Linked DNA regions of Anolis sagrei. The protein of the gene in region 2 interacts with the protein of the main gene of each other region in a pairwise test. Links are inferred from orthologs where the notes say so. Each region holds a gene or a part of one and is shown on either strand. Other genes may lie near its edges.

What was found.
Region 1: the proteins of ENKD1 (region 2) and BEGAIN interact in binary tests that used the Homo sapiens proteins (3 or more experiments, as listed by UniProt). The two-hybrid records come from large-scale screens. The link is inferred for Anolis sagrei from reciprocal best matches to the Homo sapiens genes ENKD1 and BEGAIN.

What each region holds. Positions count from the first base shown.
Region 1 is NC_090021.1:322,777,394-322,793,400, forward strand, and holds the start of BEGAIN (brain-enriched guanylate kinase-associated protein), read right to left. Parts: upstream 7,299-16,007; 5' UTR 7,189-7,298; coding exon 6,337-7,188; intron 1-6,336. UniProt on the Homo sapiens protein: May sustain the structure of the postsynaptic density (PSD).
Region 2 is NC_090028.1:44,000,705-44,016,737, forward strand, and holds the start of ENKD1 (enkurin domain-containing protein 1), read right to left. Parts: upstream 7,227-16,033; 5' UTR 7,151-7,226; intron 1-7,150. UniProt on the Homo sapiens protein: Microtubule-binding protein which regulates microtubule organization and stability. Promotes the stability of astral microtubules and facilitates the proper orientation of the mitotic spindle.

The DNA.
Region 1 (16,007 bases), on a different chromosome or scaffold from region 2:
GATACTACTGAGTGAATGGATCTATTCTGGTCAGGTCTCAGTCCCCTTCTTTCCTGGGAAGCTCGTTGGAATAGATTTTCTCAGAGGATGGTAAACTCTCCTTTGGAAGTCCACACACAAGTTGAAAGGCCATCTCTTCAAAATGCTTTCCCTATCTGTTCCTGCATGGCAGAGGGTTGGACTAGATGGCCCTTGTGGTTCCTTCCAGTTCTTAAGAGTCTCCAATTCAACACTCACAGCAGGAAGCTGGAACATGTTCCTCGCCAACCTGAGAATAGCTGTATCAAATGAATTTGTTTGGTGCAGTTGCAGGAAGATACCAACCAAAATTGGTGCATTTCTCAGTATGATGGACAGTAGAGCAATAGGGTTTACCAACTCTGTAGGCTGACCTGTCACAGCCCTCAACATGACAGAAAGGCAGGAGACTTAGTAGAAACAGATACAAAAGTATAAGATTGACAGCAGATAGCACGAAGCCTTTTAATACAGAAGCTGCTCTTTGATGTTGAATTTCTGCCTCAAAACCTCAAGAAAAGAAGATAATGAAACTACCATTTTACCTTCCCATTTAAGGTCTGTAAGGTAAGGTTATGCCAGTCCTGCACATTTTCAGGCTTAACTTTTGTGGATTTGATTATTCTCAGAGTTGATTAATTAATATGTTATCTCTAGAAATCTTGAGGTGCTTCAGGGAGACTCAGTGTTCAAATTCTGCTGAAGGTTGACCATCGAGCTGCCTTGGAGGACCTAAACATTCTTAGAAATGTATTCTTTTAGGTTATAAAATTTGTGTATTTTCTATTTGTGTCTTTTCCAGTCTCACAGGGGTTCTGCACCCCTAACCCCCACAAAAGTGGAGGGCTCACTCTATGTTGATAAACAGCCAATTATACAGCAATCAGCTTGGAAAACCAATCTATTGTCAATGATTAAATGTTTATAGATTATACCAGCTGCACAATATATAAAAACATTATTATTTGCTTGTAATAACCTGAAGGAGCCCCTTTAATCAGCAATAACATTCTAGTGTGATACAGGACTTTTTTATTAGACATTGTGTAAAATATCAGATTCAATATGTTTCTGGTATGATAACACTTTTGTATGCACATAGACACACATATTAAACAGCAAAAGCCAGGGGGATATAAAAGTTAGGCTTCTAGTGTAGCATCATTAGCTTGGTTTTACTGAACATCTTGGAATGTAAGTCTCAATTGATCTGCTAAGATTCTGCCAAGCTTTTAATATGGGCCAGAGTTCTGTCTCTCAGCGTTTATATTGAATTGTTTTATCCTGCTCTTGGTTTCTATTCATGGAATTGATTCTAGTGCTGTTAACTCTTTTGAGTGCTTTGGATTATTTATCTTACTGTCTTCTTTTTTCATATGCTACTTTTAGTTTAGTTTACAAAGAAACACCTTTTTATTTTTAAAACTGCCTGAATTGTGTTATGTATTATTGCTATTTAATTGCTACATATGCAAAATAATGCAGCAAACATCACAGCAGCCATAAGAGATTGAATGAAGGACTAAGGAAAAAACCAAATAAGTACAAGGAGATCAAGATATTTTGAAGCCTTCCTTTTAACATTTCTTAATATGCGTTGCAAAATAAGACAGTTATTGAGTGTTCCTGAAAAAATGTAAAGCAGAAGAATACTGTGTTAAGGGGAGTCTGAATACCCTAAGCGGTGTTTCTCAACCTGGAGGTTGGGAGCCCTTGGGTGGGGAGGGGTTGTGTGAGGCCATAAAAGACCATCAGAAAACACAGTACTTTTTTTGGTGTGGGAAGTTTGGCCCAATTCTCTGTGGGAAGTTTGGCCCAATTGGTGGGGCCCAAAAGGCTTTTGACTGTACGTGAATCCCAGCAGCTACAACTCCTAAATGTCAAGGTCTATTTTCCTCAAACGCCACCAGTGTTAACTCTGGGCATATTGAGTATTTGTGCCAAGTTTTGTCCAGATCTATCATTGTTTGGATTCACAGTGGATGTAGGTGAACTACAACTCCAAAACTCAAGGTCAATGCTCACTAAACCCTAAAAGCATTCAAAGCACCCCCAACAGATGGCCATCCAGCCTCTGCTTAAAGGCCTCCAAAAAGAAGCCTCTTCTTAAAAATGATTACAAGTGATGGACAATATGTAATGGACTTGATTCTAGAGAAGTGGTTCTGAACCTGTGGTTCCCCAGGTGTTTTAGCCTCCAACTCTCAGAAATCCCAGCCTGTTTACCAGCTGTTAGGATTTCTGGAAGTTGAAGGCCAAAACTTCTGGGGACCCACGGGTTGAGAAACACTGTTCTAGAGCATAGAGAAGTTACTTTTTAAACTGCAATTCCCATAATTCCTAAACTAGCATGATCATTGGACATTCTGGCATGGGAATTTGAACACTGTAATCCAAAAATGTTATGTTTTGGAGCACTGGTTAAGAACATAGGCAATCAGACCACTGATCACATCTGTCACAGTGCTGAAAAGTATAACTAGCAGCAATGGCTTTCCATGGTTTCAGGCAGAACGTGTTCTAGACTATCATGGGAATCCCTGAGCACCCCTGATGGCCTCCCCTCTGAGTATCAATCAGGCTCAGCCCTACGTAGCTCTTAAAATCATGCACAACCCTTTAATATAAAAAACAGGAGCTCTTCAGTCATAGCACCTCACAACTGCAATGTAAATTAAATATACATTTAATTTCTGGGTTATGCATAGAAACTATTGTATCCTTCTCCCAATCCAAGCGCCCAAATCACCATCCCATTTTTCTTATGGTAGTCTCTGAGGACTGAAAAGAATGTCCTGTGGTGAAAGATCAGGGTGATATGTTAGTTCCGTTGATATAATTCCCTGAAACCAAGAACAGAGCAATTTCCCCACTTTCCTACAACTCCCACTCCACTTTAAAGCCTTCAAAACCAGCTCTGGAAAGCTATGAAAGTTTTCCAGTGCAGGTTTCTGACCAGTATGGAGGGCTATAGAATTAAGATAGAAAAAGAAGTCGTCGTTCTGAATATCTGTTGTATCAATCACACAATTGCCTAAAATCTAATAGCATCCATTAGAACTGAGGAGAGTTCTTTGCAAGATTATTTTCTTACCATAGCTTCAATTTGCTGGCCAAGGTTATGACCCCACTTTTTCAGTTCACCGCTGTCTCCTGCCCAGAACCATGCCTGGAGGGCATCTTTGACAAGGAGCAAAATATCAAGAGTACCTTATGGAAATTAAAGCTGTAGGGAGGCCTAATAGTTATATTAGAAGCATCAATGGCTCATGTCTGTGTGTGTATTTGGGGTATGCTTAGAAATGAGGAGAAAAAAATCTTGCCAAGAAAACCGCATGATTGGTTCACCTTAGGGTCACCACTCGTGAAAGAGCAAAACAACAAGAAGTTTGTACACTGTGAATGGGTCCAGGCTCGGTTTACTGGTCTGTGTAGAGACAGCAAGGAGCCAGCAAAAAGGTCCATGAATTCTCTCCAAACTACAAAAAAGCTTAAAATCAAGAATGAGATTGGTATAGGTCATATCATCCAATAACTGCAATGCAATCACTCTAATCACATGTCAATCAAATATGTCTTTGTATTTTTTGGCAACTTGATGACCATTCACCTGTAATTTGCTGAATACAAGTGTCCTGAATGACTTTTCAATAACTTTGAAGAATAGGTTCTTTTTATTGCAATTTCCAGTGTGAGAGGGTACATCAGATTACAGAAAAACATTTGGACGAAGAATGACATTGGACATACATACAGATTCTATGCAACTACATTGGATTTACAGTTACATGGCTAACAAACAAACAAAGGGAAATTACATTTTCATTCAACATTCACACCACATGTACACGCATTCATCCTCAGGCATCCAAATATTACCATATCATTTTCTCCCTCCTTGGATAAGCACCTGTTAGGCCAGACCCTGCTTTCCTGCAGCCTGCCAATGCATAGTTCCATAACTTAAAAATGCTGAAATCCCAAAACTTCTTTCTCTAAGAATAATGCCAAGGACCAGATTTCTGTTTTGCTTACAGCAGAACCCGACTCCCTGCACAAAATCCAAGACTCCAAAAGTGCACTTCTTCCTCTTCCCTAGAGAAAGAAGCCCCAAAGTGTCCAGAATCATGCTTTACCATAGCATATCTGACACTCTCCGAATACAACATCTCTCTCCTGCCCATGGAATGGAGCATGGCGGGTTGAACAGACTCCTCAGGTCTGCCACATTTTGAGCATTATTAGATTGAGGCTTTTATAGGAATATTCTGCTGATGTAGTCCCAAAGTTGTAAATTAATGATCCATCCTGGATCCATCTCAGTTTCCTGGCCAGATGTTGATCTTCTTGATTGGTGTTGACAAACACAAGGCTTGTATTAAATTCCTTCTTAACATAAGGAATGTTGCAAACATTTTCTTAAATTGAAATAATCATTGTCACAGTTTTTATCACAGTTTACTTTTCAGTTCTTATTAGCAGGTTTTAATCACACTCCAGCAAGCAGGTAATTAGTCATTGCAGGCCTTAATATTATACTGGTGTCTCCAAAATTATTAACTCCATACATACATCCTTCCATTCTTCCATTCATTCCCACACATATATTAAATCCAAATTGATAAAATCTTCTACAATATTTTCATGACACAAGGTACATATAATTCGCCATCTTTCCCAGTGCCTTATAAAAGTTCCTTTTTTTGTACAACTACAAGATCCTCCTAGCTAGGATGGGGGAATCTGGGAATTATAGTCCAAAAAAGATGGTAGCCTTCTACAGACATGTGTGGTGCCACTGATTTTTGCAAACCACACTTCCTGATGGGGAGTAGGGAGAAAGAGTCACAAGGAAACAGTTATGCAGCAAGGTTTTAGAACAATGTAGAAAGTGGATTAGGAAGAGAATCAACTCATTTAAAATGTGTTCCTGGCCATGATATCATAGGCTACCAAAAAGTCAAATAAGTTGGTTCTACAGAAAATCAAGCCTAAACTCTTCCTGGATGCCATAATTGACTAAATGATGTCTGTTGTACTTTGGCCATATCATGAGATGGCATGATTTACCAGAAAAGCCAATGACACTTGGTAAGGTAGGAGATAGTAGGAAAAGAGGAAGACCACAGTCTAGATCAGGCACGGACAAACTTCAGCCTTCCAGGTATTTTGGATTTCAACTTACACCACTCCTAACAACTACAAGTCTGCTCTGTCCTGTTCTAGATGGATTGACTCATTCAAGGAAGTCCTTAAGTTTGCAAGGGCTGTTGAGAATAGGAGATCTTGCTGGTCCCTCAAGAACAGTTAACAATTGCAAACAACAATTATCCACCTTCTGTTTACGGACCAATCTTTGTATTCAGCCACTCACTGCTGCATTTACACGGCAAAAATTGTCCTCTAGCAGACATAAAACAACTTTCCTTTTAGCCTTGAACATCACTCCTTATAAAGTGTGTGAAGTATACACGTTGCACGGATGCGTAGGGGTAAAGTCTGATACTAGCGAAGGCAGATACACACAAGTGAGAAAGCTTAATTGAACAGACACTTAGGAGATTAACACAATATACTTTGAAGAGTTGACATCCTACTTTAAATCCTGTGGGTGCCTCCTGTAGAATTCTGGCGGTTGTAGTTTTTTGAGGACCTGGACCTCTCTGGCTGAGAATTTGAGATGGCCCCTCCCTAAACTGCAAATCCCAGAATTCTACAGGAGGCAGCCATAGAATTTGAAGTGGAATAGCAACTCTTTAACAGTGTGGGGTGATAATCTCCTAAATAAAGGTATCATGTTTTAAGACAGCTTTTCCCAGCTCGACAATTTCCACTAATATTGGACCTGTACTATTTCTAAGCAATAGTCATAGTATGAGTTCATCATCCACTTGGAAGATAATTCCAGACTGGTGAAAGACAACTTCAAAATGAGTGCTTTGGAAGGCCTCACTAAACTACCAACTCCAGAATTAAACAAATGACAAAATGTGTTTCCAGAGTCAAGGATGACAGTCTTCATACCATTTTCAGCACATTCCATGATCTGTTCCAGAAACAAACAATCCAAGTAAATTTATGAAACGCGAATTAACAGATGTCATGTCTTAGTGTGAGTTAAAATGGATTAACCTTCCAATTACAAATGTTTAACATTGGCAAATTAATTTTTAGACCTAATGTACCAAGCTCTGGGATTCATGAATTACAAAAAATGGTAGCTGGTCAAATAAACAAACAAAACAGAGATCTGTTAGTAAAAAAGAAAGAAGCTATACCCTTGCCAGTGCTAATAAAATACCCCCATTATTTACTTACTTGACCTGGAATCCCGTTTCTGTATCTCCCAAAAGAAGGCCCGGCATCCAAGGACAAAGATTTCTCCAGCTTCCGCATCCGTGCTCCAGACACAACATCATCACTTCTCAAACTCTCCAGGTCTGTCTCTCTCTGTGATTTCTGGGCCAGATTCTCACCCTTCCAGCCCTCAGAGCTCTTCTTCCGTAGACGTAAATCATCAAGGCTTCTCCCTGCAGAGCCAAGGCTACTCTTCAGTTTAGCTGCTCGGAAGGCTTTCACACTTGTAGGGTCGAGGACCCGGAAGGTAACTTCATTCAGGAATTGTGAGAACTTGAGTTTGGCTTCAATTTTCTCTTCCACAACAGACAAGGAGCTTGAGGAACCTTGGCTCAGGATGCTCAAATCAGAGGTGGATGAACTACTCCGGTTATGCAACTTCTTCCTCTGCTGATGCTTCTGGCTGGTGTCTCCTGCTTTCCCCGGGTAGAGTGAAGAGTGCTCCAGATGATGGATTTTTTCACCCCACTTCTGGTTGCATTTGAATCGATGTGATTGATAGCCTTCATCCTTATTTTTGCTTTTAGCAAAGCTTTTAGCTTCTGACCCAGGGCCACTTTGAAACTCGAAACTGTCCTCACTGGAACTGCAGGGTTTGGAATAGCTGCCCATGGCCAGTGCTCCCAAGTGTCGGCTCTCCATATCACTGATCACTTCAGCATCACATAGATGGGCAGCGGAACTGCAACGTGGTCGTTCTTCAGCCATTCCTCTAGACCCCTCTTGCTTATGGGCCTTCCCATGTGTCCCACTCTCTGCCTTGATTTGTGACAGAGGTCCCTTGGACAACAGTTCCATGTGTTTCTTAGGCATCTGAATGTGACCTATTATCTGTGTAACCACCCCACGTTTTATTTCAGCCAGACAAAATAACCAGTTTCTTTGCAAAATATATCCCTGGCCCAGCTGCCACACTTTACAGCCCCTAGTTACATATAGTCACCAAAATTAGATCAATAGTTGATTTGCATTATTTTAATTAGTCATACCAATCAACTGAATCTATAGTACATACTTGATTCCTCCCCTTCACCATCCCTGAGGGGCTGCTGATGAATGTGGCTTTGCATTGATCCAGACAAGCATATGATATGTTCCTGCCTGTTGAACTGTAAACTCATCCACAGTGATGTGAATCCATTTGCACTAAGTATGCTTTGGGGCAGTTACATAGCATGGCTTTTGAAAAAAAAATCAGATAAGAGAGAAGGTCATCTTATGGTTGTGACATGTCCTGGTCACACTCATGTTCTTGGTTCCACTGCTATGGTGGGGGTGGGAGGAACCCAGATTAAACTAGAATAATCCATCAAGCCATAGGAAAGGATGGCTGAGATTTGCATTGGGAGGTGTAGCATAAAGTTCCACACAAGCAAAAGTAGGACAGTGGGTTGTTGTAAGTTTGTTATGCTGTATGGCCACGTTCCAGAAGCATTCTCTCCTGGTGTTTCGCCTGCATCTATGGTAGGCATCCTCAGAGGTTGTGGCATCACAGAGGTTGTGGCTTGATAGCATACATGGGGGAAAAAAGATCTTGGAGTCTTCATGGACAGCATGTTAAACATGAGCCAACAATGTCATGCAGCAGCTTAAAAAGCCAATGGAATTTTCACCTGCATAAATAGGAGTATAGTGTCTAGATCCAAGGAAGTCATGCTACCCCTCTATTCTGCCTTGGCCAGACTACACCTGGAATACTGTGTTCAATTCTGCATACCACAATTGAAGGAAGATGTTTACAAGCTGGAATGTGTCCAGAGGAAGGTGATTAAAATTATCAAGGGTCTGGAGAACAAGCCCTATGAAGAGTGGCTTAAAGAGCTGGACATGTTTAGCCTGAAGAAGAGAAGGCTCAGAGGAGACATGATGAGGGCAATGTATAAATATGTGAGAGGAAGTCAGGGAGGAGGGAGCGAGCTTGTTTTCTGCTGTCTTGGAAACTAGGATGTAGAACAATGGCTTCAAACTACAGGAAAGGAGATTCCACCCGAACATGAGGAAGAACTTCCTAACTGTGAGAGCTGTTCAGCAGTGGAACTCTGCCCCTGAGTGGAGGCTCTTTCTTTGGAGCCTTTTAAACAGAGGCTGGATGGCCATCTTTCGGGGGTGCTTTGAATGTGATTTTCCTGCTTCTTGTCTTCTGCAACTGTCCTCAAATTGACTTATGCAAATTGCACTTAGTTTGTACTTCATTTAGGTTGTGTTGTACATAACTCATTAACAGAATGCCAGGTATGATTTAGGACATGACTTCTTTTTAACAAATATCCATTGGCAAATGGAAAGGTAGCACAATATAATTTAGGAAATAAAACATATATGTGTGCTCCTATGTATATCCATCAAGTCTACATTCTATGGCCCAGAGCACTAATGCACTAGTCAGGGTTGACTGGTGAATCCACTAGTCACCTTAAGTCACAGTTTGGGAAAAAAGTGATGGAAATAAATAAATAAATAAATAAATAAATAAATAAAGGGATAGATGAGATAAAGTATCAGTGTGATGTAATGGAGGAGCATTGGACTACCACCCTAGAGACCAGGGGGTCAATTTTCCATTAGCCATGGAAAATCACTCGGTGATCCCAGGCTAATCACACATTCACAGCCTCAGAAAACTCTGTGGTTGGCTCTTAGGGTTGTCATCAATCAGATATGACTTCAAAACACATAACAATGCTGGATGAATGGCTTGATGGAAAGTTCTACAGATCTATAGCAATATTTGTGGATTCACATCACACTAGGTGGAGAGAGTTGAGGATCAATGGACCTACTGGTACAGGGGCAAGGAATCTAATCTAGATTTTGTCACTGTTCCTTCCACTGCTGCTCCAAGTTCGATCCTCAGAGCATTTTGGGGATATGTTGGAGTAGATTTTCTGTCCCTACAGCAGTGGTTCCATTAGTTGTCCCTGAGGCAGGGGAAAATGTGTAGAGAAGAGGGATATAGGAAATTTTGTCATTATTTCAATTTTGATTGAGACAGTCTATTATGACATGGTGAGAGTGCTTGTCAAGGATTTCCCAATTTTGTATTTCCAGTTTGAGAATAAGATATCAAATTTGTAAAACATGGTAACTGTACCTGTTATCCAAAACTAAGCAGAGCCCCTGGTGATGCAATGGGTTAAACCCTTATGCCAGCAGGACTGCTGACTGATAGGTCAGCAGTTTGCATCTGGGGAGCATGGGTTGAGCTCCCTCTGTCAGCTTCAGCTCCCCATTGGGGGACATGAGAGAAGCCTCCCAAAAGGATGGTAAATCACCCAAACATCTGGGTATCCCCTGGGCAACATTTTTGCAGATGGTCATTTCTCTCACACCAGAAGCGACTTGCAGTTTTTCAAGTCACTCCTGACACGGAGAAAAAAAATCCAAAATAAAACATTTCATGCTCACAGAATTTTTGGATCTGGTAGGGTTGGTTGTATTTTTTATCCAGATCTAACAATAACCCCAAAGTGATGGTCTTTAAAGACATTTTAACAGCATGACAAGCCTTTGTGGGTGCCCAAAGCAGGCAAGATCTCACTCAGATTTGTGCTGGAATAGTATACTTTGCCAAAACCAGAAAGCACAGGTGGCATGTTCAACTCCTTTTATACAAACTAATGGAGTAGTTAGGAAGAGTCTAGGTCATTGCTACTCCCCTTCTCCAAACTCCTGCCATCTGAAGCAATTGTCTACTGCATAGAAGCTACATAGAAACTCTTTCAGTAGAACAGTTCTACTGAATTCCATAAGCTTTTAGCAGGCATCTGGGATAGCTAACTAATGCCGAGAAGAAAAACTCATATGAATGACCAGCATCTCTTTTTCATATTAATTCTATTTCTACCATTCACAGATGTCCCAGGGCAAGTAACAATATTAAAGCAATAAAATACAATAAGCAATGTTAGTGTAATGCACCTAATAAAATCTGTAACAATCAGCAGAGATAAACAAGTATAGTGCAGAGATCCAATCATATTCATTGCCTGCTTATAAATGCCCTGGTAAACATATGGCAGTAATGAAATCGCAGTAAAGTCAGCCTCAGACTAATGTCGTGTTGGGCAGCAAACCAGTGAGGGCACTGGTTTGGAGGAACTCTTGTTCTGAATGTAGTTCTCTCTACATCCTAACTGTCATTACCCTGGTAATGGAAAGAGAGAAAAAGAGGCAGTACTTGTTGGACAAAATCCCCTCCCACCACCCCCGTCCCTTTTTCTTTTTATAGCCTGTCTTAATTGGATTGTAAACCTGAGGGCAGGGAATTATTTTGTTGTGCTTCTATTTGTAAAACACCATACACAGGGATGGAGCCATATAAATAAATTATGATGATGATGAGAAGAGGACGTGGTGTTGGTGTTGGTGGAGGAGGTGGTGCAGGAAGAGGAAATAATTGTCATATTCAACCATTCAGGAATGGGCTTTCGGTGCTTAGGACTGGTGTCAGTGATCTCAAAGGACATGTTTTTCGCTCCAGGACCTGGAATGGGGGTGGGGGTAGGGGAGACACACATAGATCCTTGGTAGTTTGAGGGATATATTTTACTATTTTGGACACACACCCTTTATTTTATAGTATATATGTTGCTATGTCCCTGGTATTTGAATTCCTGTGAAACTTAACATTTTATTTGAAATGATACAGCATAGCATATTGAAAATGCTGTCACATTTCACATCCAACTGAGTGATTTCTATAGAAAGCTCTTGCTTAAAAACAGAGCAAAGAAAGGGACTCCAAAGAAGACTTTAGACCAGTGGTTTCCAATCTTTTTTAACCAGGTACCACTTGACTAGAGACCACTCTCCAATATTAGTGCCAAAAGGGTTACTAATCAGTTTTTGGTCAACTTTAGATTTGGTTTGGTTATTTGGGGTGCTGATTCATTGGCTAGATCACATCAACCCTAGTTTCTGATACAGAACATATGCCATCCAGTAGTTGCCATCTACTCGCCCACAGAAAACCATATTTAATAATCTAGAGCTGATGTGGTCTATCCAAAGCAATTTTCTGAATCACCACCCCAAATAACCCCAGGAACAGGCCTAAAAATGAAGACACCAAGGTGCCCCCACTTCCAGGTGCCACATGGAATGACTCTGTTCGGGGGGAGTGAGGGAGGAGGAGGAGAAGCAGCAGGCAGCAGGCTTGTTTTCACACTTTTAGTGGGTAGTGAGCCTCTCCCCTCCTGACATCCCAGTTGCCTTGGCACTATAAGAGGGTTTTGTGAGACCAGTTGCTCTCGTTACATTGGTGTAGTAACGGTGAGGCCGCCGTTCTTGTGGACCACTCGTGGTCCACGGACTACAGGTTGGGAACCACTGCTTTAGGTGCTGTGTTTTTTTAAACTCCTCAAGAACGGCTTTACTATCAATTCCTAAAATCTTACTGATTACTAAGAAAACATCACCATTCACCATATTTTCGATAAGAGTGGATTATTTCTAGCAGCCTGGGATGAGTCATTTTGCTTCTTTTCCATCTACTATTGACCCCCCCCCCCAATATTGTCTTTTGTGATGTTCAAGTAGTTTCTTTCCCCACCTCACCCTTTTTTGGCTTTTATTGTTGTCATACCAAAGATGTTGTAGTACTTTGGCCACATCATGAGGAGACAGGAAAGCCTAGAGAAGACAATGATGCTGGGGAAAGTGGAAGGCAAAAGGAAGAGGGGCCGACCAAGGGCAAGATGGATGGATGGCATCCTTGAAGTGACTGGACTGACCTTGAGGGAGCTGGGGGTGGTAACGGCTGACAGGGAGCTCTGCCGTGGGCTGGTCCATGAGGTCACGAAGAGTCGGAGACGACTGAACGAATGAACAACAACAACAACAACAACCAAAGATGTGGGATTTTTGTAAACCATATTGCACAGAAAAGGTAGGTTAAATCCTGTACACATCTACAGGGGTATGAGAATTTCAGTACTTTCGCACTTTGCATCTTAAAGGCTGTGTTAAGGTTCTTTGAAATTGTAGTCTAGAGTCTCTTAAGAACTGAGATACCTTGGAAAACCAAGTTGAATAAAAGAGAGAGTGATGGCAGCTTTCTTTTGGCAAATCAGCATGTAGATGCCTAGCTCGATACCTTGGAAATGTTAAGATGATACATTCTGGGGGGCATTTCTGGTAGATGCGGTAGAGTGCATATCAAGATTTTTTTTAGGCAAAGGGTAATTGATGCTGATTGAGCTGCCAACATGATATTCTAGAGATATTTGTCTGGTCATCTAAAGAGTGAATGAGAAGCAACTTTCCTCCTCTAGAGGTTAATTGATTCAGTATGGCGTATACCATAATGGGAGCTCCATTGTATGGTGAAAATAAAATAAATAGCATTGTGTTTGGAAGTGGCATGGGGGCTAAGAAGAGATTTGTTCTTTCCCTTGAACTGGGCTTCTGTTTAATTTTTCAAAACGGCTTTGTTTTCCTAGGAATGGTGTCATAAGGAAATGAAAACTCCCATAGCAATAGGAGGAGAAGTGCTGCAGCCGAGGTTGTTATGACAACTGGAAGTTTCCTAAAGAAGAACTCGGAGAGATGTTTTCATTTTGTGACCAGAGCTGTTAAACATTGTCTGTAGTTATGCTGCGTAATATCATCTCTTTCTCTTCATTGTGCAAAGTGCTGTTGGCATTGCTGCTTTAACTCAATCTGCTCCGTGCCTAACTCCTACAAGTGGTAATGAGACAACATCCAAAGATGCCACTGGGAGTGTTACAGAAGAGAGCACCATGCTACATTAACCTCCTCTTCTTAAAAGCACACTAGCAAAATACATTTAATTTTGTTGGGTGTGGTGTGTTTGGAAGAAGGTCTGACATAGAACTGGGCCTATCACTTGACCTCAATGGACAACTTGTCCAACCCTATTTCAGTACAAGAATTCACATCTTAAAACTTCTCTGAAATATGGTCACCCAGCCTCTGTCTAAATACCACCAGTTATATCCACATTCACGTCACTAATAGGGGGCTCAGTGATCTGCAGTCCCTGGAAATCATGGACCCAGATCATATGTATCTAGAGGGCCCACTATACCCATGCCAAGGGTGCTTTGAATGCAATATTCCTGCTTCTTGGCAGGGGGTGGTGCAGTGGGTTAAACCACTGAGCTGCTGAACTCGCTGATCGAAAGGTTGGTGGTTTGAATCCAGGGAGTGGGGTGAGTTCTCGCTGTTAGGACCAGCTTCTGCCAACCTAGCAGTTTGAAAACGTGCCAATGTGAGTAAATCAATATGTACCACTTTGGTAGGAAGGTAACGGTGCTCCATGCAGTCATGTTGGCCACATGACCTTGGAGGTGTCTACAGCTTAGAAATGCAGATGAACACCAACCCCCCAGAGTCGGACACAACTAGATTTAATGTCAGGGGAAACCTCTACCTTTATCTAAACATCTTCATGAATCATATCTTGTTCTGAAATGGGAATATTCAAGAACATTTGGCAGTGGAAGGCTATTTTCCCACATACAAGAAAATGTGGCTATTGATTATTCTCCCCTCCCCCCCCCCCCCCACACACAACACATACCTTCTGTTCCCTTTTAATTGAATTCAACATATGAAGAAGTGAGGTTCAAACTGTTAGTTGTACATTTGAAACTATGAGGTGACTGGATGTAGAATTCAACCTGTGGCACCCAGGCCAAGATGCTGTCAACTAGACTAAAGAGCTCCTGCTAAGATTTGAATGGAGTGGGCAGCTTGATGGAATGAACAATTTGGAAAGAGGAAAATGTAATTTCAAATATTCATGGAGCTCTTGCAGAGAAACAGGAAAAGTACAATCGGAATAAATAAGGTTCTGCTTGTATGGGAAGCCAAGAGTGGGGAGTGCACCAGGTTAACAAAGGCCACGTGGAAGTCTCCAGCAGGTAAGAGCTTAATTTCACATGTCAATGAGAACGTCACATTGACTGAATGACACATTAGAGCTAACCTCAACGTAGCAATTTAGCTCTCCCCTGTCACCTTTGGTTTGGCTCACTTTTCCTTGAGTCATTTGGACCCAGTTGGTTTTTAAATTATTATCCTAAATGAAGTAAATGTCAGATCTCACATTTCAGAATGCAATAGCATTTGTGGGATTGAAAAAGTGGGTAAAAACATTTTTGTAGTTTCATTATGTTTTTATAAAGGAGATAAATGAAAGCAGGAAAGCAGTGTTTGGCAGATCCTTAAAGGAATAAATTTGTTTCAAGATTCCCAAGAGTACAACAGTTCTTCACACAGAAATATAAAGCAGTCATGGCAAAAGGGTATGAAGCACTTGACCAGTGTCCCTGGAAATTATGAGCATGCCTACAAATCAGAGACTATGTCTCAGATGAAATATAATATGTGTCCATTCCATTTCATGTACAAAAGCCAATTGGCAATTGAATCTCTTGTCAGTTCTAGTTATATGACCAAAGACACAAGGCTGCTGCATCATACTCAGTCAATGATGTGGCACAGCAGCTAAAAAAGCCAGTGTGATTAGAGGTTGTGTTAATAGGAATATAGTGTCTAGATCAAGGGAAGCAACAGTTCCACTTTAATCTAATTTGGTCAGACCTCACCTGAAATTCTGGGCACTACATTTCAAGAAGGATATTGACAAGCTGGCATGGGCTCAAAGAAGGGTGACCAAATGGGCAATGGTCCAGAAGGAAAATCCTATAAGGAGTTGTTTGGAGAGCTGCATGTATTATGCCTTGAGAAGAGGAAATTAGGGTTTGACATGAAAGCCATGTTTACATATTTAAAAACATATTACATTGAGGAGCAGGGAAGCTTTTTAAAAACTATTTCTACAGTTTCAACTCCATTTGCAACAACTGAAAGAAGCTTTGGACAAAGGAGGAGGAAGAGAGAGAAACAAGAACAATTTAAAAGCAGCGGAAATGTTTTGTTTCTGTTTTTAATTTGTTGTGGTCGCAATATATTTTAATATATTAGTGTATCGTTGTTTTGACTTGAGCAATTCTTTGAAGGGGCCTCTGAGCAGAAAAAGGATTAATAAATTCTCTGAATGAATGAACAAATGAACAAGTTATACTCCATGCAATTATAATGTGCAGCAGAACTCACTGAACTGATATACAAGATCTGGAGCCATTGCTCATTTTTGAGAGTCCCATTTATATTTAGATCTATATACCCACAGATCACATTCCCTATTCATTTTAGCATGTTCAGGATTAGTCCTGATTATATAACCCTGGTTTCTGCACATTTGCAGAAATTGATCATAGAAATTCCAAAAGGCAGAGCGCATTGTGGATGCATTGATGCTGTTCATATATATATATATATATATATATATGGTGTCGACACCACTATTGTAGGAATTCATTTCTGTGTAAGTAACTCCATTTGTATTGAATTTAATAATAATAATAATAATAATAATAATAAAAACTTTACTTGTAACCTGCCTTATCACCCCAGGGGGGCTCAATGATTACATTTATAGTAAGACTAAAATCTATGGGCCAAAGACTTAACTCCTTTCTCCAGGCTGGCCTAGCCCTCTTGATAGAGAACATAAAATACGTTTTTGGAGACATTTCCCTGTTTAATTGCAAAAGGGAAAGCAGGGAGTGGTCCCTATCTTCAATCTTTGGTGGGTGATGAGA
Region 2 (16,033 bases):
CCAGGTCGGAGTCCGCGTCTGACCAATTTGTGTAGCTTACTGTTGACCTTTGCAGCCCAAAAGACAGTTGCATCTGTCAAGTAGGAAATTAAGGTACTGCTTATGTGGGAGGCAAATTTAACTAATTTACGAGGCCATAAAAATCTCCAGCAAGCATGCAATGAATGAGGAAGTACTTCACAAATGGTCAGTGAAGGGGCAGCTCACTACTTTGATGAGAACAAGATAGACCTCATGTAATTATATGACAGCCCCCATATGCTGACTATCTGGAACAAAAATGAGAAGATCATAGGCTTCCAGGATCCTCTCTACTACAAACACGAGAGCTCTACTAACCAAATCGTGATACCGAGGACATATAAAAGTCACGATAAAGCTTTCCCCTTGACATTCAGTCTAGTTGTGTCCGACTCTGGGACTCTGGTGCTCATCTCCATTTCTAAGCAGGAGAGAACGGCGTCACCCACAGATGCCTCCAAGCTCACGTGGCCACTGGCATGACTGCATGGAGTGCTGTTACCTTCCCGCAGATGCAGTACCTATTGATCTACTCACATCTGCAAGTTTTCGAAGTGCTAGGTTGGCAGAAGCTGGGCCTAACAGTGAGATCTCACCCCGCTCCCTGAATTCGAACCTGAGACCTTTTGGTCAGCAAGTTCAGCAGCTCAGCGGTTTAACTCGCGGCACCACCGGAGGCTCCTCAAGAACATATACTGAGATTGAAAAGAATTCTGAGTCCAAAAATTCATTCTGAATACCGGACACTAACTGAGCCAATACACCATCCGCAAAGATATTCATGGTAATGCTGCCACTCCAAGCTTTTCTTAAATTTCAGATGCAAATTTAGGATTCAGGTGGTAAAAAGCAGACATTTTGTTGCTGCCACTTTTAAGCAATCGGATCTCCAAGACAGGGCCTTCTCAGTGGTGGCCCCTCGGCTATGCAACGCCCTTCCTGGGGACATTCGATCGGCCCCCTCCCCCTCTTAACATTCTGGAAAAGACTCAAGACTTGGTTGTTTCAGCAAGTGTTTGAAAATGCAAGGTAAAAGACATAGGAATTTGGAACAACTGGATGACGAGATGGGACAATGTTATGATTAGGAGACACAAATGGATTACGTTTTTAATACTCTTGTTATGATTTTATATTATGTGTTAATGTTTTTAAGGAGCCCCCGGTGGTGCAGTGGGTTAAAGCGCTGAGCTGCTGAGCTTGTTGACCAAAAGGTCACAGGTTTGATTCCGGGGAGCGGCGTGAGCTTCTGCTGCCAGCCCTAGCTTCTGCCAACCTAGCAGTTCGAAAACATGCAAATGTGAGTAGATCAATAGGTACCGCTCCGGCGGGAAGGTAACGGCGCTCCAGGCTGTCATGCTGTCACATGACTTTAGAATCATAGAATCAAAGAGTTGGAAGAGACCTCATGGGCCATCCAGTCCACCCCCATTCTGCCAAGAAGCAGGAATATTGCATTCAAATCACCCCTGACAGATTGCCATCCAGCCTCTGTTTAAAAGCTTCCAAAGAAGGAGCTTCCACCACACTCCCTCTGGGGCAGAGAGTTCCACTGCTGAACGGCTCTCACAGTCAGGAAGTTCTTCCTCATGTTCAGGTGGAACCTCCTCTCTTGGAGTTTGAAGCCATTGTTCCATTGCGTCCTAGTCTCCAAGGAAGCAGAAAACAAGCTTGCTCCCTCCTCCTCCTCCCTGTGGCTTCCTCTCACATATTTATACATGGCTATCATATCCCCTCTCAGCCTTCTCTTCTTCAGGCTAAACATGCCCAGCTCCTTAAACCGCTCCTCATAGGGCTTGTTCTCCAGACCTTTTATCATTTTAGTTGCCCTCCTCTGGACACATTCCAGCTTAGAGTCAATATCTCTCTTGAATTGTGGGGCCCAGAATTGGACACAATATTCCAGGTGTGGTCTGACCAAGGCAGAATAGAGCATGGGGAGCATGACTTCCCTAGATCTAGACACTAGGCTCCTCTTGAGGCAGGCCAAAATCCCATTGGCTTTTTTTGCCACCACATCACATTGGTGGCTCATATTTAACTTGTCCACGAGGACTCCAAGATCTTTTTCACACGTACTGCTCTCGAGCCAAGCATTGTCACCCATTCTGTCTCTTTGCATTTCGTTTTTCCTGCCAAAGTGGAGTATCTTGCATTTGTCCCTGTTGAACTTCATTTTGTTAGTTTTGGCCCATCTCTCTAATCTGTCGTTTTGGATCCTGCTCCTGTCCTCTGGAGTCTTGGCTATCCCTCCCAATTTGGTGTCGTCTGCAAACTTGATGATCCTGCCTTCTAGCCCTTCATCTCAGTCATGAATGAAGATCCTGAACAGGACCGGGCCCAGGACGGAACCCTGCTTGTGGCACTCCGCTCGTCACTTCTTTCCAAGATGAAGAGGAAGCATTAGTGAGCACCCTCTGGGTTCGTCCATTTAACGAATTACAGATCCACCTCACCTTGGAGATGTCTATGGACAATGCCGGCTCTTCGGCTTAGAAATGGAGATGAGCACTACACCCCAGAGTCAGACATGACTGGACTTAATGTCAGGGGACAACCTTTACCTTTACTTTAATGTTTTTAAATAGTTTATGGTGTTTTGGGGCATCAAATTGTTGCCATTGTGAACCGCTCTGAGTCACCTGAGGGCTGAGGACGGTATACAAATATAGTAAATAAATACATAAATAAATAATGTAATTGGGCTGAAATGGAGCTTAATGAAACAGGTAGTAAGAGAAGCTCTGTAGCCCTCTGGTTCCAAACCTCTCAGCCGTTTCCTGCGTGCCTTCCAAAAGGGAGTGACGCCCCGCGCTTTGCCACCGGGCAGAGCCAGGCACAAAGCCCGGGAATCCTGCCAGCAACAAACAGGCCGCAGCTGCTGTGACTCTGCGGCCAGGCACCCTATGTATTTATTTATTTATTTATTTGGGGCTTTTCTATCCCGCCCTCTCTCAACCTCCGCAGAGGGACTCAGGACGGCTTACAAATTGGCATCCCATGGTGCCCATTCCAGAAACATAAATATATAATTGAACAGCAGTATAACAATACACAGTGTAAAACAGTATACAACAATATAAAAACACACAGTCAGCTTGAATCATCATCCGAGGGGGAGTCAGACAGTTCTGTAAAAGTTGTCAAGTCAGCAAGTCACCCTAATCTACCAAGGCCTGATCCCATGGCCAGGATTTCACTTGTTTCCGGAAGGTCAAGAGGGATGCAGCAGATCTAATTTCAATTGAGAGGGAGTTCCATAGCCGAGGGGCCACCACAGAAAAGGCCCCGTTCCCTGTCCTCACCAGACGTGATTGCGACAATGGGGGAACAATGAGTTGGGTCTCCCCAAAAGATCTTAGGGCCTTAGGTGGGTCGTAGTTTGGAAAAGTAACCTGCCAATAGAACCAAGTTGGCACAGAAGCAGTCAGGAAGAGCGACTTTCTTCTTCCCTGCGCTTCCTCCAAAGATACTCTGACCGCAGATTCCACCTCCTGCTCGGCCTCAACAGAAAAGAGTGGGCACACTGTCCCTGGTTCTTGGAGAAGGGTGGTTTGTAGTGAGAGCTAAGCCAATGCTACCTTGGCAGCCACCTCTCCACAAATGTCAACATTGACACCGAAATACAATACCGCCTGAGCTCTGCAAGTGCAGCATTTTTCCAAATGAAGCAGAGTGTTTGAGGACCGGGACATCCGTAGGGAGACCAAGGGGCTTGTTTATAAAGCTATTGTCCTCCCAACCCTGTTGTATGCCTGTGAAACGTGGACTGTCTACAGATGTCACATGCAACTCCTGGAACGATTCTATAAGCATTGCCATTGAAAAATCCTGCAAATCTCTTGGGAAGGCAAGCGGACAAACGTCAGCATGCTGGAAGAAGCAAAGACCAGCAGCATTGAAGCGATGGTCCTCCACCATCAACTCCGGGAAGACAAGTGGACAAATGTCAGACGCTGGAAGAAGCAAAGACCAGCAGCATTGAAGCGATGCCCCTCCACCATCAACTCCGCTGGACCGGCCACGTTGTCCGGATGCCCGACTACCGTCTCCCAAAGCAGTTGCTCTACTCCGAACGGAAAACGGAATGTTGGTGGGCAGGAAAAGAGATTGAAAGATGGGCTCAACTTTGGCATTGACACCGAGAACTGGGAGCCTTGAAATTGAATCCAGACAAGACAGAGGTCCTACTGGTCAGTCGTAAGGCCAACCAGGGCATAGGGTTACAGCCTGTGTTAGACGGGGTTCCACTCCCCCTGAAGACGCAGGTTCGCAGCTTGGGAGTGATCCTGGACTCATCGCTGAGCCTGGAACCCCAGGTCTCGGCGGTGGCCGGGAGAGCTTTCGCACAATTAAAACTTGTGCGCCAGCTGCGACCGTACCTTGGGAAGTCGGACTTGGCCACGGTGGTCCACGCTGTTGTTACATCCCGACTGGATTACTGCAACGCACTCTACGTGGGGCTGCCTTTGAAGACTGCTCGGAAACTCCAACTGGTCCAGCGGGAGGCAGCCAGATTGCTCACCGGAGCGACATACAGGGAGCACACCACCCCCCGGTTGTGTCAGCTCCACTGGCTGCCGATCCAATTCCGAGCACAATTCAAAGTGCTGGTTTTGACCTATAAAACCCTATACGGTTCCGGCCCAGTGTATCTGTCCGAACGGATCTCCCTCTACGTCCCACCTCGGAACCTAAGATCTTCTGGGGAGGCCCTGCTCTCGACCCCGCCTTTATCACAAGTGAGGTTGGCCGGGACGAGGAGCAGGGCCTTCTCGGTGGTGGCCCCCCACCTGTGGAACTCCCCCCCCCCCCCCGGGGAAATTAGATCGGCAATGTCCCTTCTTTCATTTAGGAAAAAATTGAAAACCTGGATATGGGACCAGGCATTTGGACACCCGGGCAGCTAAAGAAAAACCTAATGACGAGCTGGAACTTGTCGAGATGGAATGGACTTATGAAACTTCGAACGCTGAACTCAGGATTAACCTACTGCTGTGTTATTGTATTAATGTGTATTGATGATTTTAATTTTTAATTTGTAATTGTTTAATTTGTTTATATATGTATGTATATGTGATAAAGGCATCGAATTGTGCCTTCCTCTGTAAGCCGCCCTGAGTCCCCCCCCCCCCCCCCGGGGGTGAGAAGGGCGGGGTAAAAGTGACGGAAATAATAATAATAATAATTAAGGGCTCCAGCTGGAGGTCAGCTGTGACCAGCAGTGCTGCAGAATTCAAAGAGGCACAAATGGAGGGTGAAAGAGAGAAACATGCCAAGAGGAAGGAGGCACATTAAGCCAACCCTGACTGGGACCTTCTTCCATGTGGAATCCAATGCCCTCACTGTGGGAGAAGATGCAGGTCAAGAATAGGGCTCCACAGTCACCTACGAACCCACAGCCAGGACACTATACTTGGAGGACCATCCTCCTCGGACTATGAGGGATCACCTAAGTAAGCAAGCCAACATTGTTTGCTGTAACCAGTAACCAGTACAGTAAACCAGTACAGTACAAGATTCTGTAATTGTGGAAGGCTTTCATGGCTGCCAGAAAGGACAGAGAGTTTCATCTATGCTGATGATCGTGCCATTACTGCTCAAGCAGGGAGCTTTGAGATGGTAGAACAGAAGCTCTCCGAAGCTCTAGGTGCCCTTACTGCCTATGACAGGGAAAACCAGATGATCCCCAACCCATCTAAAACACAGACAAGCATCCTGAGCTCTGAAGATCACCTGGGAAGGAACCCCTGGAGCATTGCAGCACACCCAAATCCCTGGGAGGAGTCACTCTGGACTGTGCTCTGACCTACAAGAAGCACTTCCTGAACATCAAGCAAAAAGTGGGCGCTAGAAACAACGTCATACGAAAGCTGACTGGAACAGCCTGGGGATCACAACCAGACACAGTGAAGACATCTGCCCTTGCACTATGCTACTCTGCTGCTGAGTACGCATGCCCAGTGTGGAACACATCTCACCACGCTAAAACAGTGGATGTGGCTCTGAATGAGACATGCCGCATTATCACGGGGTGCCTGCGCCCTACACCCCTGGAGAAATTACACTGCTTAGCCGGTATTGCACCACCTGACATCCGCCGGGAAGTAGCAGCCAATAGTGAAAGGACCAAGGCAGAGACATCTCCAGCTCATCCCCTGTTTGGGTATCAGCCAGCACATCAACCACTTAAATCTAGAAATAGTTTTCTAAGATCTGCAGAGACACTTGCTGGAACACCTCAGCAAGCGAGAGTCCAAAAGTGGCAGCACCTCAATCAGTGGCTGATACCAAATGAGAGACTCCCCCCTGGGCACACAGAAGAAGACTGGGCGACTTGGAAGGTGCTGAACACACTGCGCGAGATGCAGAGCCAACCTCAAGAAATGGGGCTACAAAGTGGAATCCACGACACGCGAGTGGGGAGAAGAGCAAACCACTGACCACCTGCTGCAATGCAACCTGAGCCCTGCCACATGATGCACAAGGGAGGACCTCCTTGCGGCAACACCAGAAGCACTCCAAGGGGACAGAGACTGGTCAAAGGACATTTAATCAACTACCAAGCTTGCAAACTTTGTGTTTTGTTTGTTTGTTTGCTTTGTTCTGTTAGAAATGTAATATAATTGACTGGTTGATCTGACACGACAAATAAATAAATAAATAAATAAATAAATGGCTGGAATCACTGGGTTGTGGTAGGTTTTTGGGGCTATAGGGCCATGTTCTAGCAGCATTCTCTCCTGACGTTTCGCCTGCATCTATGGCAAGCATCCGGAGGATGCTTGCCATAGATGTAGGCGAAACGTCAGGAGAGAATGCTGCTAGAACATGGCCCCAAAACCTCCCACAAGCCAAGATTCTGCAAGTTTGTAACAATGATAATTATATGAATACTTCCTCTCGTGAAGACAGAAGCCCCTTCCACGCAGGTGAATCCAATCCCACGTTATCTGCCTTGAACCGGATTATGTGGCAATGTGGACTCAGGGAACCCGGTTCTAAGCAGATATTCCGGGTTATGTGGCTGTGTGGAAGGGCCCAGCGGGAAGCAGAGAAGAGGGGCGCGTCCCCTGGGGAAGCCTCGGGTGGGAAGGCCCGCCTCAAGCCCACGCCGGGCTCCGCTCACCTCTCGGGACGAGAACAGGCCGCGGTTGGGATCTCCCCGCCTCCTCCTCCTCCTCCCGTCGCTAAGCAACCGTCGCTTCCTCTCCATAGGCGGAAGGTAAACAAAGCCCTTCTAGGAAGTCTAGCACCGCCCCTTCTCGCCTGAGGGCCGGCGCCGCAGCGCCCCTTGTGGCCGGGGGAGGGAAGGGCAGGGAGGGAAGCAAGAGGCACTGGCTCAGGATTTCCCTTTTTTTTTTAAAAAAAAAAATGTTTTTATTAGGAGGATTAAAATATATATATAACCTCGAAAGTGGGGGAACATATTTGGTTTGGATAGGAAAGTAGGAATATCAAGGTCCAAGTATATAAAAAAGGCAAAAAGAGAGGAAAAAAGTGTATATATAGTTAGGTTCTTGTGGGGTTTTTTCGGGCTATATGGCCCTGTTCTAGAGGCATTTTCTCCTGACGTTTCGCCTGCATCTGTGGCAAGCATCCTCAGAGGTATTTATTTATTTGGGGTTCTTTTACCCCGCCCTTCTCACCCCGAAGGGGACTCAGAGCGGCCTTACAAAAGCAAAGGCACCCTTCGATGCCTGCATCATGAAACAATTATACATAAACTTACATCATATCATAATATAATTCACAAAGTGCATGCATTAATTATCATAAAATCAATAAAATCAATAAAAACAAATACAAACCCAATTTCTCCTTTTACATGGTCAGCGTTTCGCTCATTGATCTAATTTTACATTCCATTTCATCAATCCTGCTGGTCTTACTCGCCTGATTGTCTGATTTAATTGCCAAGGTGCCCAAAGGCCTGGTCCCACAACCACGTCTTCACCCTCCTCCTGAAGGCGAGGAGGGATGGTGCTGCCCTGATTTCCCCCGGGAGTGAGTTCCACAGGTGAGGAGCCACCACTGAGAAAGCCCTGCTCCTCGTCCCCACCAGCCTCACTTGTGAGAGTGGTGGGGTCGAGAGCAGGGCCTCCCCAGATGATCTCAGAGTCCGGGGTGGGACGTAAAGGGAGATACGTTTGGACAGATACACTGGACCGGAACCGTACAGGGTTTTGTAGGTCAAAACCAGCACCTTGAATTGTGCTCGGAACTGAATCGGCAGTGTAGTGAGGTCTGTTGGAAGTAGGAAAATGGGTTTATATATCTGTGGAATGACCAGGGTGGGGCAAAGGACTCTTGTCTGCTGGAGCTAGGTGTGAATGTTTCAACTGATCACCTTCATTAGCATTTGAAGGCCTGCCTGAGCCTGGGAAAATCTGTTGCTGGGAGGTGTTAAGCTGTGCCTGGTTGTTTCCTCTCTGTTGTTTTGCTGTTGTAATTTTAGAGTTTTTTAATACTGGTAGCCAGATTTTGTTCATTTTCATGGTCTCTTCCTTTCTGTTGAAATTGTCCACCTGCTTCTTGTGGATTTCAATGGCTTCTCTGTGTAGTCTGACATGGTGGTTGTGAGAGTGGTCCAGCATTTCCGTGTTCTCAAATAATCTGCTGTGTTCAGGTTGGTTCCTCAGGTGCTCTGCTATGGCTGACTTCTCTGGTTGAGTTACTCTGCAGTGTCTTTCGTGTTCCTTGATCCGTGTCTGGGCAATGGCGCTGCGTGTGGTGGTCCCTCTGTAGACTTCTTGTCCACAGCTGCATGGTATACAATGGTAGACTCCTGCAGAGGTGAGAGGATCCCTCTTGTCCTTTGCTGAATGGAGCATTGGTTGGATTTTATGTATATATAGTGTTCTGTCGCCGCTGGAGCCGAAATGAATCATAGAATCCTAGAATCAAAGAGTTGGAAGAGAACTGGTGGGCCATCCAGTCCAGCCCCAATCTGTGAAGAAGCAGGAATATTGCATTCAAATCACCCCTGACAGATGGCCATCCAGCCTCTGTTTCAAAGCTTCCCAAGAAGGAGCCTCCACCACACTCCCTCCTGGGCAGAGAGTTCCACTGCTGAACAACTCTCATGTTCAGGTGGAATCTCCTTTCTTGTAGTTTGAAGGTGCTTTTAAGAGAGGATGTTAGGCTTGCATCCAGCAGGAAGCCAGGGCCCCAAAAAGAAGCCTTTAGGAAAATTTCCCTTATTAAGCAGTCTTTATGAGGCTTGAGCTTAAATATAACAGTTCTTTATTAAGGAACAAACAGGCTTAACAGTCTATTACAGTGTTTCTCCACCTTCCAAATGCCACGACCCCTTAATACAGTTCCTCATGTTGTGGTGACCCCCAACCTTAATATTATTTTCATTGTTACTTCAAAACTGTAATTTTGCTACTGTATTTACATTTACTGGACCAAATGTGGCACAAATACCTGGTGAGTTTGCGGGGGGGGGGGGGGGGGGATGTATTGATGTTGCCATTTGGGAGTTGTAGTTGCTGGGATTTATAGTTCGCCTACAATCAAAGAGCATTCTGAACTCCACCAATGATGGAATTGAACTAAACTTGGCACTCAGAACTCCCATGACCAACAGAAAATACGAGAAGGTTTTGGTGGGCATTGACCTTGAGTTTTGGAGTTGTAGTTCACCTAAATCCAGAGAGCACTGTGGACTCAAACAATGATGGATCTGGACCAAACTTGGCACAGATCCTCAATATTTCCAAATGTGAACACTGGTGGAGTTTAGGAGAAATAGAGCTTGACATTTGGGAGTTGTAGTTGCTGGGATTTATAGTTCACCTACAATCAAAGAGGATTCTGAACCACACCAATGATAGAATTGGGCCAAACATTCTACACAGAACTCCCATGACCAACAGAAAATACTGTGTTTTCTGATGGTCTTTGGTGACCCCTCTGACACCCCTTCGTGACCACTCCAGGGGTCCCAACCCCCAGGTTGAGAATCGCTGGTCTATTAGCTCTTGCAATCTTGTTTACAGGAAACAGGCACTATCTTCATAAACTTTGCTCAAAGGAAAATTCCCCCTTTTAGCGCCTCCCAGGCTGCTGTGAACCTAAACCTGACTGATTTGAGTCTACTACCGGCTGAACTGCGTCTCAGAACCGAGCAGACGTACCAGCAGGCCTGTAGTCACTTAGCTGGAGATGAGCAGAGCTGTTATTCCCTCCGGAAGTCCTCAGGGCTGTAAAGCTGTTTCCCTGGAACCCTTTGGGAATCTGTAGAGGCTCTCAAGACTGTTCTCCCCCGGGAAGTCTTAAGAGACGAAGCCTTTGCACAGGAGGACGTTTGTGTACATCCTCTGCATAGACTTCCTTTGCTGAGACTGGCTGAAAAATAGCCCCTTCCCTCCAAAAAACTCAAAGAAGGGCGGGACCAGGGAACCTAACTGTTATTGACAGGTGGCTTGTCCTATGAATGCAAATTATAACAGGAAGCCACCCTGCTGCAAAATCCCAAGCCTGGGATTGCAAACCAACATTTAACCCAAAGAAATAAAATTGGAGCTCCTGGAACAGCTGTTCCAGAACATATAGGAAATAGAATATATATATATATATATATATAAGAAGAGAAAAAGGGGAAAATGTTTTGTTTTTTTTAAAAAAGGAAAAAATATAATATTGTTGACTTCCATCTAGACTTTGGTGGTCTTCAAAGTCTCTTTTTCTGGGCTTTCTAAGCATTTGCTGATGGTGAAAGAGGTCATGGCACGCCTGGGCCAACTTGGGCCCTCCTTCCCTCCCTCCAGGTATTTCGGACTCCAACTCCCACCATTCCTCACAGCCTCGGGCCCCTTCCTATTCCCCCTCAGCCACTTAATGGAGGGTAAACAGGCCTTACATATGTAGATGATCCCACTTTGATGGCCGAAAGCGAGGAGGAGCCGAGGAGCCTTCTAATCAAGGTGAAAGAAGAAAGCGCAAAAACTGGGTTGCAGTTAAACATTAAAAAAAACCAAGATTATGGCAACAAGAATGATTGACAACTGGGAAATAGAGGGAGAAAAGGTAGAGGCCGTGACAGGGTTTGCATTTCTAGACGCAAAGATTACTGCAGACACAGACTGTGGCCAGGAAATCAGGAGACACTTCCTTCTTGGGAGGAGAGCAATGGTCAAGCTTAATAAGAGAGTAAGGAGTAGAGACATCACACTGGCAACAAAGATCCACATAGTCAAAGCAATGGTTTTCTTCAGAGTCACTTACGGATGTGAGAGTTGGACCTTAGGGAAGGCTGAGCGAAGGAAGAGAGATGCTTTTGAGCTGTGGTGTTGGAGGAAAGTCTTGAGAGTGCCTTGGACTGCGAGAAGATCCAACCAGTCCATCCTCCAGGAAAGAAAGCCCGGCTGCTCACTGGAAGGAAGGAGAGTAGAGGCCAAGAGGAAGTCCTTTGGCCACATCATGAGGAGACAGCAAAGCCTAGAGAAGGGAATGATGTTGGGGAAAAAGGAAGGAAAAAGGAAGAGGGGCCGACCAAGGGCAAGATGGATGGATGGGATCCTTGAAGGGACTGGCTTAACCTTGAAGGAGCTGGGGGTGGTGACGGCCGACAGGGTGCTCTGGCATGGGGTGGTCCAGGAGGTCACCAAGAGTCAGAAGCCACTGAACGAATAAACAACAACAAACCAGGCCTGGGCAAATCTGGGCCCGCCCTCCCTTCAGGTGTTTTGGACTCCAACTCCCACCATTCCCAACCGCCTCGGGCCCCTTCCTTTCCCCCCTCAGCCGCTTAAGCTGAGTACTGGGCCCATAACCAACGTTAGGCTCTGTTACACAGTAGCATTGCACGCAGCAGCCTTCACGTGGGAGCTTCTCTCATTCCAGGGCTTTGTCATTCTGTGAGGCCTCCTTCGCAGGGAAGCCTCCTCGCACTGACTGAGGCACTCTCTCACTGGGGCAAACAAACACTAACAGGCTTTGGCATACTCACTGTGCTATCTTGTTCATAACTTGGAGACTGCCTGTAATGCAGTTATACGAGTCTATTATGAAATATATCATACTGTTATTGAACACGATACCCCCTCCTCCTCCTCCTCCTCCTCCTCCTCCTCCTCAATTACAAATGATTGCAGAGAATATCAGGAACAGACCAAGAGCAGCATCAAAGCCCACAAAGACTTAATTGCTTCAACCCTAAAATAAAATCTATACTTGTTCTAACCTTCTGCCAGACCTGTATACGTAGAGTATAGGTATGTGCATACATAGAGAATCCTCCAAAGCACTTTACATTTTTAGGTCTGCTTGTCTGTTTTTCACAAATGCCACTATCGCCTTTTTGCCCATGCTGCAGCATTACTTTCAATTTTAATTTTACATTTGGCCTACCCATAGTTTTTAAAGTGTGTTGTCCTATTGATAATGCTTATGTTATTGTTTTATTGTTTTTAAATTGCTTGTATTGTTGTTGTTGTTGTTGCGTGTATTGCTGTATTTTGGGCTCGGCCTCATGTATGCCGCACCGAGTCCCCTGGGAAGATGGTGATAATGCTTATGTTATTGTTTTATTGTTTTGTTGTTTTTAAATTGCTTGTATTGTTGTTGTTATTGCGTGTATTGCTGTATTTTGGGCTCGGCCTCATGTAAGCCGCACCGAGTCCCCTGGGGAGATGGTAGCGGGGTACAAATAAAGTGTTGTTATTATTATTATTAATCCCGTTCTCCATATAAAATGCAACAAGACGTAGCCCAGAAGACCACCACCCTTTTGTAACCTTGCTGGGGCTTTTCCTGGGCAAGAGAGGGTGGGCAAATCTCTCTGGCTGTTCCCGGCTAGGGTAATCATCACAACCCATTCTGGAGATAGATAGATAGATAGATAGATAGATAGATAGATAGATATGTAATATATATATGCAGAGAGAGGCAGCTCCCCACGTCAGGCCAGATAAGACAGTAAATATTGGTTTAACTTAATGGCCCTCGTGGGCTGAGAGATTGCTGACCATGGAAACAGAGGCTCAGCGTGCGTACATTTGCTTAACCTTTTTATTTGGAGCCCAACTCCAATTGTCAAGATCACCCTCACCTTTTAGGTCTTTGGAGCCTCAAGCACTTGTTATGCTGAGTCAGTCAATCAAAGACTCATTATCATCTCTTTGACATTAAGTTCTTGTGGGTTTTTTCGGGCTATAGAGCCATGTTCTAGAGGCATTTCTCCTGACGTTTCGCCTGCATGTCTGGCAAGCATCCTCAGAGGTAGTGAGGTCTGCTGGAACTGGGGGGGAAAGGGTTTATATATCTGTGGAATGGCCAGGGTGAGACAAAGGGCTCTTGTCAGTTGGGCTAGGTGTGAATCTTGCAACTGACCACCTTGATTAGCATACAATGGGCTGACTGTGCCTGGAGCAAACTCTTCTTGAAAGGTGATTAGATGTCCCTGCCGGTTTCCTCTCTGCTGTTTTTGCTGTTGCAATTTTAGAGTTTTTTAATACTGGTAGCCAGATCTTGTTCATTTTCATGGTTTCTTCCTTTCTGTTGAAATTGTCCACATGCTTCTTGTGGATTTCAATGGCTTCTCTTTGACATTGTTTCCTAACCCTAACCCTCTTTGACATTGTTCCGATAAAGGGCATCCCTTTGCAGAGGACGTCCCACCAGCCGCCTGGCCCTCCGGTCAGCGAATCCCAGGCTGCCATTTCCCCGCAAAAGGGAATCCTCGCCTGGAGGCAGTGATGTCAGCAGTGTCCTCAACCAATCAGGGTGCGGATCCAGACTGGCCCCTCTCTTAGCCAGTCAGGGAGGGGCGCGGGATGTTTGAATAGCTGTCATGCTGCAAAAAAATGTTATGATTGACCTTGTCTCTCTTTTTGGCCAGACTGAATAACCTTCTGCGGCTTGTCTTCACCCGGATGCGTTTCCTGTCTCTCTGCCTGGCCCATTTGGTGTTAGCCTGGGTCTGCCGGGCACAGTCCCTGTTATCTGCGGTCCTAGTCTTAAATCCAACACAATACCCTTCAGTTCAAGCTGCAACGACCGGTGCATTGTCCCTGGCTTCTGTGGCCCACCAACCTGAGAGAGAGTGGACAGAATGCAGCGGTCCTTGCGTAGCCTAGCAACCGGAGTCAGGAAGGCGGCGGTGCCATCATTGTCTCCAGACGGACCTCGTGCTTTGGTGGAGACGGACCCCCTGCCTTGGTGGGGATCTCTCCTTCTGTTGAGTAGATCCAGGCAGCTCAAGCCTTTGATACGGAGGGCAACTCCAGGTTGTTGTGAGGATGAACTGCAGGTCTTTGGAGAGAGAGAGTATTCAGGCATGGGCCTGAATACACCTTGGGAAAATGTTGCTAATCCCACTCCCATGTTATTGGTCAGCAAGTCGGCTCTGAGTTATGAATGAGAGAGCTCTAAGGCCCCTGGTCATCAACTGCCCTGTACAGACACTCCCTGAGTTACAGACAATATAGGCTCTGTAGGTTTGTTCTTAAGTTGAATCTGTATGTAGGTCAGATCAGGGACATTTTCAAGTGTAACTCCAGCCAAGAAATACACATAGTTTAAAGCTTTAGATAGCACAGGGAAGGGTGAATACCGCTGTGGTGTTAGTTTTCATATTTAGAAGATGTTCCTCTACTGCAGTGTTTCTCAACCTGGGGGTCAGGACCCCTGAGGGGGTCATGAGGGGGTGTCAAAGGGGTCGCCAAAGACCATCAGAAAATTAGTATTTTCTGTTGGTCATTGGGATTCTGTCTGCCAAGTTTGGTTCAATTCCATCATTGGTGGAGTTCAGAATGCTCTTTGATTGTAGGTGAACTATAAATCCCAACAACTACAACTCCCAAATGTCAGGGTCTATTTTCCCCAGACTCCACCAGTGTTCACATTTGGGCATATTGAGTATTTGTGCCAAGTTCGGTCCAGAACCATGGTTGCATGAATCCACAGCATTCCTCTGGATATAGGTGAACTATAACTCCCAAACTCAAGGTCAACACCCACCAAACCCTTCCAGTGTTTTCTGTTGGCCATGGGAGTTCTGTGTGCCAAGTTCAGTTTAAAACCATCGCTGGTGGAGTTCAGAATGCTCTTTGATTATAAGTGAACTATAAATCCCAAATGACAAAATCAATCCTCCCCCCAACCCCACTAGCATTCACAATTGGGCATATTGGGTATTTGTGCTCAATTTAGTCCAGTGAATGAAAATCGATCCTGCATATCAGATATTTACATTATGATTTATAACAGTAGTAAAAGGACAAGTATCAAGTAGCAACGAAAACAATATTATGGTTGGGGGTCGTCACAACACGAGGGACTGTATTAAGGGGTCACGGCATTAGGAAGGTTGACAACCACTGCTCTGCTGTTTCTACCTGTAATAATTGGATTTTGATGGTGATAAATCTTTAGTGCAGACTCCTTTTCCCCAGGATAATAACTCTTTTGGGACGGAACTTCTCTTCCAAGGGGGAGATTCCTTTCACTTCCTGTCGTCTCACTCCCGTTCTTAACTAGGAGTCAGATGTTTGTACCTCAGGGACTGCCTTAGTGTGGTCCCCCCTTTTTTTCCCCTATTGCCTTCCACTCTTTAAAGCTGTGTTGCAGAGCTTTCCAAACTGTGTGTCGACTGCGGTCTCAACATAACGAGCCTAATTATTTATCTATTTACGACATTTCTATGCCGCCCTTCTCACCCCGAAGGGGACTCGGCGCGGCTTACAAGGTATATATTACATGCAATATATTATATTGTTGGCATAGTACAATATCAGCATTAAACATTGCTATATTGCACCATACCGCTATATCGTATTATTATTAATAATATTACATGTAACAGAAATATGTGATTATACCATATTATTATTATTATTATTATTAATAATAATAATATATTGCATTACAATATAATATTAGGGCTGAGTTAGAACTGATCATTCTCAAAGGCTTGCTGAAACCACCAGGTCTTCAAGCTCTTACGAAAGGAGGGGAGGGATATGGGGCCTGCCTTATTTCCCTTGGAAGGGCGTTCCAGAGG